Schizosaccharomyces pombe: one gene and its partner. The gene in region 1 interacts genetically with each later gene. Each region holds a gene or a part of one and is shown on either strand. Other genes may lie near its edges. The genes, in order: srk1 and pyp3.

The links.
Region 2: of srk1 (region 1) and pyp3, extra expression of one rescues a mutant of the other (dosage rescue), as found in Schizosaccharomyces pombe (one study listed by BioGRID).

Annotation. Positions count from the first base shown.
Region 1 is NC_003421.2:1,300,310-1,306,284, forward strand, and holds srk1 (MAPK-activated protein kinase Srk1), read left to right. Parts: upstream 1-1,627; 5' UTR 1,628-2,590; coding exon 2,591-2,602; intron 2,603-2,825; coding exon 2,826-4,556; 3' UTR 4,557-5,159; downstream 5,160-5,975. Other genes in the region: protein mug150, read right to left, coding at 331-645; SPOM_SPCC1322.09 (uncharacterized protein), read left to right, coding at 5,885-5,975. UniProt on the Schizosaccharomyces pombe protein: Delays the mitotic G2/M transition by promoting nuclear exclusion of cdc25. During osmotic stress, inhibits the G2/M transition in a sty1 stress-activated MAPK pathway-dependent manner.
Region 2 is NC_003424.3:5,296,774-5,300,968, reverse strand, and holds pyp3 (protein tyrosine phosphatase Pyp3), read right to left. Parts: upstream 2,255-4,195; 5' UTR 2,132-2,254; coding exon 1,844-2,131; exon of another isoform or gene 1,739-1,843; coding exon 1,115-1,738; 3' UTR 780-1,114; downstream 1-779. Other genes in the region: SPOM_SPAC11E3.10 (ER or Golgi multispanning membrane VanZ-like family protein), read right to left, coding at 21-44, 126-187; Smc5-6 complex non-SMC subunit Nse6, read left to right, coding at 3,236-4,195. UniProt on the Schizosaccharomyces pombe protein: Contributes to dephosphorylation of tyrosine 15 of cdc2.

The DNA of each region.
Region 1 (5,975 bases):
AACATGATGGATGGGAAATTTGGTTGAACTGCGGTTCAGAAGGAACAAAACTTACCTTTAAAAACCCTTCTAAAAAATTTCCTATGCGATTTCTTTAGCTGTCGCACGCTTTTTTCACTTATTCTAATACGACTCTGCCTTTCCTATCCGCCAATATCGTCTTAGCCAGTATATCCAAATTATAAGTATAAACATGAATACAGTAATAAGAGAACTGTTCATTCTTAGGTAGGCCTTTCTTATATAAACATATTCAGGTAAAATCAACATTAACTTTATATTCATTATGACTATTGAAGAAGCGATTCCTCAGCCTGTGCAAGCTGTCAGCTATATTTCCAAAGATTGGAATGATAACGTAATAAAACACAGTGATACGAAAAGAAACCATAGTAAAGAGGAATCATTGTAGAGAATCTCAGTAAAGTATGGAATCGCTATAAAGAGAAAATTGAACAGAGGAAAATCGCAGCAAAGAGATATGGTAGTACAAACAATCCATGCCTTATACAAAAGGTAAAGGTAATTCGACAGTACAATGATATTTTTTAAAAAAAACATGTTCTTTCTACTACAATTATTTGGCTTGTCACTTGAGGCAAAGACGGCGAAGCGTTTATCCATGATGATAAACAAGCTCGCCATCTCTATACTTAAGGGCTTGCATTGTATGGAAAGGGCGCAATTGCCGTGCCCTATAAGAAGAACTTTTGATTTTTCAAATGAATTTTAGATCTTGAAGTCAGGCGACAACAGCCAAAACATCATCTCATCTCATTCATTCAACAATGAGGAATGGGCGATTTTTCATCCAGCGTTTTTATCAGGTCAATTGCGTCGATCTCATTGTACACCAAGATGATGGATATGTAATGAAGCCAGCCAGTCGGCTTATGAAAATTTTGCTAATTATAAGAAATCAATTGCAAGTAACAGAAATGAGATGGATCGCTGCATCAACAAGGATAATGAGATAGACAGATAAAGTTTGTTGAAAATTTTCACGACAGAAGAAAATCACTCAACTAATCAACTCAAAATGGAATAACATGGAAATTTATTTCGCCAAACAGTGCAGAAGCCACTCAAAAGTGAAATGAGCAATGGAGGGGAGGAAGGAAAGATTGGTTGATTTGCTGTATCAGATGAAATTCATGGGTGAATGAAAAAGAAAAAAAGGTTTGCAAGAGGATGGATGAGTGAGATTGAAAAAATATTAGATCTCGAATAAATTCTTTCTATCCATCTTTCATAGTATACAATCGAAAACAAGATAGAACACATCCATGCCATCCATACTTCTATCTTTTTTTTTCTTTCTCTCTCTCTCTCTCCCCCCCTAGCATTCCTCCAACAACCTCTTTATAAACGATATCCTCTTCTCTTCCCTTCCTACACCAATATCCTCCTATTTTGTCTCTGATGTCATGCTGACCTCCACCCACTTTACACTTTTACCTCGCCATTGCACCGTGTCGCTTACCGCAAAACCTCATCGAGTCATGGATGCGCAACGTCACCACCATCGTAAGCGAATACAGAGTTGGAACGAGCGGCTCGCATGATGCCAATGACGTACGTTAACGAAGGACGTCAAAGTAGGCAAATCCGCCGACATAAACTTCTTGTCTTTCGCATACCACGATTGTTGGACACCAACAATATATTTCTGTGAAAATCAATTGAAAAGCTAATTTAGTAATTTTTTGGAGACTATTGGAAGGGTACCCAGTATTGGAAAGTTATATGATTCTTAAAAATGTACGTTTGTAAATGTTTGCTCACTCGTTCGTGTGGGTAATGTTTGAGTCGGATTTTTGTTTGGATTGTGGATGTAAACGCGGATATTAGAGGCTGGAGATGAGTATCGGAAAGACTTTGCGTTTGGAGAGTGTTGTTGACGTTACACTTCCTACCTTTGGACTGGGTTGGGGATAGGGATCTTAGGAGAGATAAGTGGACGAATGAATTAGGACGGTTGGACAATATCGAGTCTTGGAAGATTACTGAATTCTAATAAAAAAAAAAGAAAAGCAAGAAGCGATTTTTTTCTTTTGTGTTTTTATTTCATTTTTATTTTCTTTCCAAGTCTGTGACTAGTTTTTTGGACTTTTTTTTGGATTTTTTTTTTCTTCTACGTCAGGTGCTTTCATACGGAGATTTGCTCTTTCCTTGATGATCAGTTTTGATTTCATCTTTACCTTATTCTATATCACGTCTCCTTCCCCTTCTGCTAGGCGGTGATTGTATGCTTGACTTCATTCTCTACATCATTCAGGTGACGGGTTTCGCTTTCAAGTCGTTAAGTTAAATTTGGCGGATGCGCAAGTGTATCTTTTTTTTCATTCTTTTTGTGCGAAATTCCTTTTTTTTTTCTTTTTTTTTTCTTTTTTCTATCATCTTGTCTCTCTGTTATCTTGGTTTAGTTCAAGAGTACGGATGCGGATAGATCAGTGTCAAGAATTTGGAAGCAAATGTGTTGGCACATTTCCAGACGTAAAACCAAACGACTAGAGATCTTTAATTAGTTATTTTTCTAATAATACCCATATCTCTTGATTGATTCCGTTTGTCGCCGTCTGTTCAAATAATGCGTTTTAAAGTATGTTTGAATTACCAAAAGCATAACCATAACCATGCCTATTGATTATACTCCCATCCTTTCCATTCCATCCCTCTTCTCAGTAGGAAACATCAATCTCACCGCACTTCTTTTACGCATACAATGTGTTTTGGTTTTGTTTTCTTCCAACCACCTTTATCCATAAACACATTTCCCTTTTACTTTTTTTTTGTTTTTTGTTATGCTAATTTAATTTATTTAGAGTATTCAGCAAAATATCGAGGACGAGGGCAAGGTGAACGTTCGCGAAGTGAATCCCGATTCCTATGCTGAACGGGACCATGGCTATACTGCTGGCATATTTTCGGATGCTGAAGAAAATTTTGGCATAACTCAGCAAGTAGCGGACTCCACTCAAAATCCCACCTCGAAACCCAAGTCCCGGCATGCACATTTCCACGAGACGGTGCACGAGAATCCTTCCGAATATTCGCGCTCCAAATGTAAACAACCTACCAACGAAAAAGAATATGATAAAGCCATCGAGGCTTTAGTTGCAAAGGCCATTGTTGAGGAACATTCCGGCCAACAATTTCCTGTATATAAAGGCCTTGAACAATACACTCTATTACAAAAGATGGGCGATGGTGCTTTTAGTAATGTATACAAAGCTATTCACAACAGAACGGGTGAAAAAGTCGCCATTAAAGTTGTCCAGCGCGCTCAACCAAACACCGATCCTCGCGATCCCAGAAAAAGACAAGGCGTTGAATCGCACAACATTTTAAAAGAGGTTCAAATCATGCGTCGCGTTAAACATCCTAACATCATTCAACTCTTGGAATTCATCCAAACCCCGGAATACTATTACCTGGTTTTAGAGCTGGCTGACGGTGGTGAATTATTTCATCAAATCGTTCGCCTCACCTATTTTTCCGAAGATTTGTCTCGTCATGTCATAACTCAAGTTGCACATGCCATTCGATATCTGCATGAAGACTGCGGTGTCGTTCATCGTGATATCAAACCTGAAAACCTGCTTTTTGATTCTATCGACTTTGTGCCCTCTCGGGTTCGTAAATACCGTGCCGGAGACGATCCCGATAAGGTAGACGAGGGCGAGTTTATTCCCGGTGTCGGCGCTGGCACCATCGGTCGAATCCGTCTCGCAGATTTCGGTCTAAGCAAAGTGGTTTGGGACTCTCACACTCAAACTCCGTGTGGCACTATGGGCTATACAGCCCCTGAGATTGTCCGTGATGAAAGGTATTCTAAGGGAGTTGATATGTGGGCTTTGGGATGCGTATTGTACACTATTCTTTGTGGATTCCCCCCGTTTTATGATGAAAGCATTTCTTTGTTGACGAAAAAAGTCTCACGAGGCGAGTATTCATTCCTTTCTCCTTGGTGGGATGATATTTCAAAGAGTGCAAAGGATTTAATCAGTCATTTATTAACTGTCGACCCGGAATCTCGTTACGACATTCATCAATTTTTAGCCCATCCATGGATTTCGGGCTCTCGGGAACCTACCTTTCCTGCCACCGATGCTCCTAACACTGCTCAACGCGAAAACCCATTTACCTATGACTTTCTTGAGCCCGAAGACGTTGCTGCTGCCGGTTCAGCCGCTCGTACTCCTGGTGTTAACTCGTTGAGAGAAGTATTTAATATTTCGTATGCAGCCCACCGAATGGAACAAGAGAAGATTAGGAAACGTGGTCAACGTGGTAACCAAGGAATCATGAATTTTATGGGTGACATGGATGATTTGATGGAGGAGAATGATGATTACGATGATGGTACCAAGAGCGTTGAACATTCGATGAAACGAGTCAACCTGTCAGGTGAAAACGATCCTAGCCTTGCTTCCCGCCAACCTGCTCAATCGCAACAACAATCATCTCAAAGGTCGCGGAATAAGTTCAAAGGTTTCCAACTCAACTTGTCAAAGGCAACTTTGTATAATCGTCGACATCGACAAAAAGTGTAACACAGACGTCTAACTTCGATTACTTTTCTTTTTTATCCAAATCAGTTGCTTTTAAATGCGATTCAGTAATGCTGATTTTTCGACACTACTACTTTGTTGTATTCTTCCTGTTTTGAATGTTTACTATTTATGAGTTATTTACCTTAAAATTTATCTTCAATCTTTTTAAAACTATCCACTCTGTTAATCAATTGACGCTTACTCAGTGACGAATATGTTCTAATAGTTGGGATTTATTCCAATACTTTCAATTTATTGTTACCTTAAATTTTCTTTATGATAGAACCATACGAATTATATGATGCTCAACAACTATTCTTAGGACTGAGATGTTCAAAAAGATGGAAACTAGTTATGCATTCTTTTAATGAAACCGTTGTTTAAATTAAAATTTTCAAGGGGTGAAATTGGAATATGGTTATTTTCAACTTTGCATATGACATGGCTTCCCAAAAGTTTCGATATTGTACTTATTTACGTACTGTGTAACCGCGATCTCTTGATTCTTTTTAGCTTGAAAGAAGAGATTGAAATATTACCAGGCCTGTCTTTTAATGACAAGGACGTTTAATGCTGTTAGATAATACCATTAATGATTTACGCATTTTTTTGTCAGTGTGTGCCAAAAAAAGCCATTTGCTCTTTGTCACGTTGTTTTTAAAGAATCTATCAATGACTGCTAGTCGTTTTGATTTGAGTAGATAGAATTTTGTGCAATATTCGCTTGATCCTGTATATATTCCAATAGTTTAGGCATGAAGGTTCTGTAGTGTTTTGTCGATGATGTTGAAGTGAAATTGATGATAAATAAATGTATTAAATAATGTTCGTTGGACGGCGTGTATTATTTGGCCAAAACGGATAGGAAGTTGCTGACCATTGTTTAAGCTATTGCTTTTTTTAAACAATGTGTAGGTAAGTTACAGCGCACGGATAATAAATATCTGTTGCTTTCTCGTTTCTCGTAAGCATTATGCCTATAAAATTCACGCATCAGTTGCACGATCAAGACCACTGTTGCATAATTGACTCGCAGAATGTCGTTCGATCAATATTGGTGAGAGAATCATAAGAACAAACATGGTACAGTAAACTTTTTATGTTATTTTTTAGATAAACTTTTTTAAAATTCACATACCTTAGTTCACGACTTTACTTTTAAAACGAAATTATTAAATTCTTTCATAATGTAATAATATAATAATAATTGCATAAAATTTTCTTAACGAGGATTTTTACCGTTATATTATAGGAGTCCTTAATGTGGCTTTTTCAGCCTACGAAACTCATCAACTAGACAAGACCGTGTGATATTCCTGCTAAACAGTATGGCAGAGACCAAAGAGCAAACTGATGATGTCGAAACATTAATGGCATCATTGGATCAACTTGGCATGGAAGCAGATCCCACTTCCAAAG
Region 2 (4,195 bases), on another chromosome or scaffold:
CATGTGCGGAGTTTACTTACAGGTAAGCAGAAATGATAAGCAAACTAAAGTGAAAATTGGTTAGAGAGATGTGAATCGTAAAGAATGATTTTAATCTTGCAAGCTGCACTTCCTGATTTACTTACACTATGAATATCGCCAAGACCTTTTTGCGTATAGCAAAATGTAAATAGGATGGGAGCATCATTTTTTTGAATTTAATAATTGCATTCAATCAACAACTTTATGGAAAAAAACAGTGAAAACGACTGTCTGTAATAGAAGTAGTGGGTAGTACGGTTAAAGAAGCTACTTCCTCTGAACCAGCCTTGTTGGGCTTAGCGGATCGTAGTATCGACCAACAAGCGACTAAACTTACCGAATAGCACTTTTAATTCAGTACCTTAAACGAAGTTTATTGTTTGTTTATTATTTTTATAGCAATTTATATGATATGTAATGGAATAAATGGGAAAGTTGAATTTCATACTTGACAAGGTTTTTATATGTACTAAACAGTATTAATATCAATAACCACAGATACCCAGCTTCACTATATGCCAAAGTACTAATAGTTTGCACGTCAAATGGTACGTGGTCAAGAAAATTAAAAGAATTGCCAAAGCGTTCATTCAACTTTTTTGCGATGAACATTTAAATTCGTGGTTACTTCTTTGTCAATTTTATTCCATGCAGCAAATTATTGTAAATTCTTTAATAAATTAAAAGCGCCTTGTATAAAAAATCTATAAATGAATCACAAAGGATGAACTGCTACAAACATTGACGACCTATAATATTTTGGAGATAGTTGTGTTTGTCATTACGAATTATAACAATAGATGACTTTTGAACCTTCGATAAGATAAAAAATAAAAATAGTATTCATATTTACGTTTTATTGATCATTTTATAGGTCTCTAAAGAAATAGTGCCATATAAAGTAATTGAAATCATTTTTAATCATTAGCGGTCCAAAAACTGGATATCAAAGAAATAAAACGTGCTAGACAAATAAAATAAATTTTGAATAAAAAAAAGAAGATCCTCTTATAAATAATATAATGTTAATTCGAAAATTCATGAGACGAGTTTTTAACATCGAATCGACTATCAGCAAACTCTAAACCAAAGGCTATAACTGAGGAAGAAGAAATTCCTTCCCTTGAAGCAGCTCTTGAGATACTGTATAAAGAAAAACAAGCTGATCGACCGATTGAACAGATTGCATTCTTTGTGACCGAAGACTGGAAACTATATTTGCGATATTATCCACCTCAAATTTCGAAGTTGAAGTAGAGTCATCTGTTTGAGATAAAATCTCAAATAACGCCATGAAAGTTCCCGTTCTGCCACAACCCGCTGAACAATGGACTATAATGGGTGCTGTTTCAAAGTCCGGAGAATATGAGAGACTTTTTATATAGCGAGTCAGTGATAGTAGTGAGAAGGTATGTGGTGCACCAAAGTCAGGCCAACCGTTATAGTAAAAATGCAAAATTTTTTTCTTGACCCCGTCCTTGTTCAGCTCAAATTCACGAACTTGAACTTCATTTAATGATGTCAAAGTATAAACTTTTACCAAAATAACGCTTAAATCACCGATATTAAGTGTCTCAAACAGTTCCACTGGCCAATAGATATCACATTTCAGACGATGGCGTTCCCTCAATTTGGTAAGCATAACGATGATGCCTGATTTTGGCACAGATTGCCAGACCATCTTCCAAAAAACATCAATACTGTTCGACGTTGGACCCTATATAAATAAAGAAGACTAAGTTAGTAATTATGTTACAAAAAATGATGAAAAGAAAAAAGGCCAAAGCCGTTTACAATCCCGCAATTTCTTTTTATTCCTAACCTGAGTAGCGATAAATGTTTTCCCAGAAGGGATTTTTACTATGGAAGCATTAATGTAATCACATGCTTCTTTCCACATTGGATCTAAACGAACACGAGTATTTTCATAAGGGACTATGTTGGAGTATCGGTTTCTAGCCAGCGCTTTCTTACTTAGCTTTGGCAACCTAGTATTTAACAGCTCTATCTCTTCCTCATTGAGTCCCTCAATAATCATGTACGCTTTTTCTTTTATTGTGATCAAGGGTGTTAGAACACCATTTTCTGTAGATACTTCTTTAAAAGACATATTGATTTTTTGCGTTTATTCGCTTTTAAACTTCTCACCGAAGTATTTTTTTGTGTCTATCAAAAAGAAAGAATAATTTCTACTAAACGACTTTAAATGATTCCTAAAACCATGACAGAAGTCAGTAAAAAAGAGAAGTATAATTGTTTAATAAATCATCATTGTACGGCCCCCACATAGCGCTAGTTTCTAGTTGTAGTCGTAATCTAGTTCACGTTCACATTCACTTCGTAGGACTAGGCCCAGAGTATTTGCGAATGTCTATGTGGGGGTAACTCGAACCTTTACGAAGCCGGTAGTATGAAGAACAAGCTATATGTGGGATACTTTTATAGGTTGTAAACAACTGTATTGATGATAGTGAATAAAATGATTTAAACGCACTTATGTTCTCTCCAAGGACTTAATCGATCTGCTATACTTTTACTTTCAAAAACAAAAATATTTAAAGTGTAGAGAAAAGTTTTGACGTTTCTTATATAAGGCCAAGTATTATAATACTTGCTCAGCAATTGTTTCATTAAATGCCTGTTTGAATGTCGCCATTGTTCTTTAGGAGTTGTGTTTGACTCGTTTGACTCCCTTACTTGGCTTCTTTGGTTTTAATGTAATTTGTAAAGATTTCTTTGAATGAAAACGTGCCTAAATTGGTTTTAGGTGTTCTTTCTTCTAAGGTTTCCAATAACTTTAACTCAGAATTAGTAAAAATCATTAATTGTTAACAAAAGCTTATGACAGGTTTTTTCTATTCTTTTTTTTTGAATGTTCGCTTAAGAAAAGTCATATGTAAACATCAACGAAGCCAGCTTGGATATGTTTATGATTTCTCCGGTAATAGCAGTTGAAATGCTATAAACTAACAAATTATTCATTTAATAAGAAAATCAATAATTTACTCGATGTTTAATATTATTTGCTTGGAATGCTCAAATTGGATGAAATGAGACTATAAACAACAAAAAAACAATCGTCGTCAAACTATAATGCTATATAATTAAATTATAAACGTTTACTTTCCACTATTTACTATTTCATAATTTTTGTTATATATCCATCCACCCTTTTACCAAAGCACATCAAAAGTGTCTTTGCTGGTATAGTTCTATGAATGCGTCTAATAACATTTCAAAATTTCCTGATTTAGATAATTCTTCAAAATTAATTGACCACATACTTGATAGTGATGATTCTGAAGAGTTGGACGAGCTTCCTGATATCTCTTCTTTGGTGCCTTCGGCAAGAGCCCAATCGCGAAAACAGTATTTGAAAAATGATTCTTCTAATTCATCTACATACAGATGGAATATTGATCTTCTTTCTAGTACTGCTACAATTGACGATTCGGTTGCAAAAAGAAGAAAATTAGCAGTACAAAATTTATTGCAATATGACAGCACTCAAACCTTTCAAACGGGAGATGAAATTGATGAATTAATAGGAAAAAGTGTTGGATCAAATGTTTTGAATGTTCTACGTTCTAACCCTATTTATGATGACGACCTTAGGTACGAATATTGTAGCAATTCAAAAGCTCGTGTTCCAGACTGGAACACCCTGAAAGCAGAATGCTTGAAAGATAACGATTTGGAGTTTAATGAAGGAATTATACCAACAACTTTTGGTGATTTATTATCGGCAAAATTGGTCCCCTTAGATATTGCATTGTCAATATGCAGCTTGCAATTTTTCCGCTCTTTAGGAGACACAACATGCTCTGAATGGATTGCTAACCTAGAAAAGATTTTTTATAGCTATAAAAGCAGCTCTAATAATCTCAACCAAATTGTACGATTTATTTTTGAGACTACTGCAGATATGATTGGCATTGATTTAGCGAAACGACAGGTACCAATCCAGTTGGAACGTACGTCAGCCTCAGAAAATTTAAAAAGCAATTTGAAAATTAAGGTAATTAATTTCCTAAAATGCTGTGGAACTTTGTATCGGTTCTCCGACGACACTGTTCGCTTTGAAATGATTCAGGATGCATGTCGAATCTTAATTGACAATCAAGTGGGCTCATTTTGTAAATGGCAATTTTCTCAATTCATGGAACTTCCAATA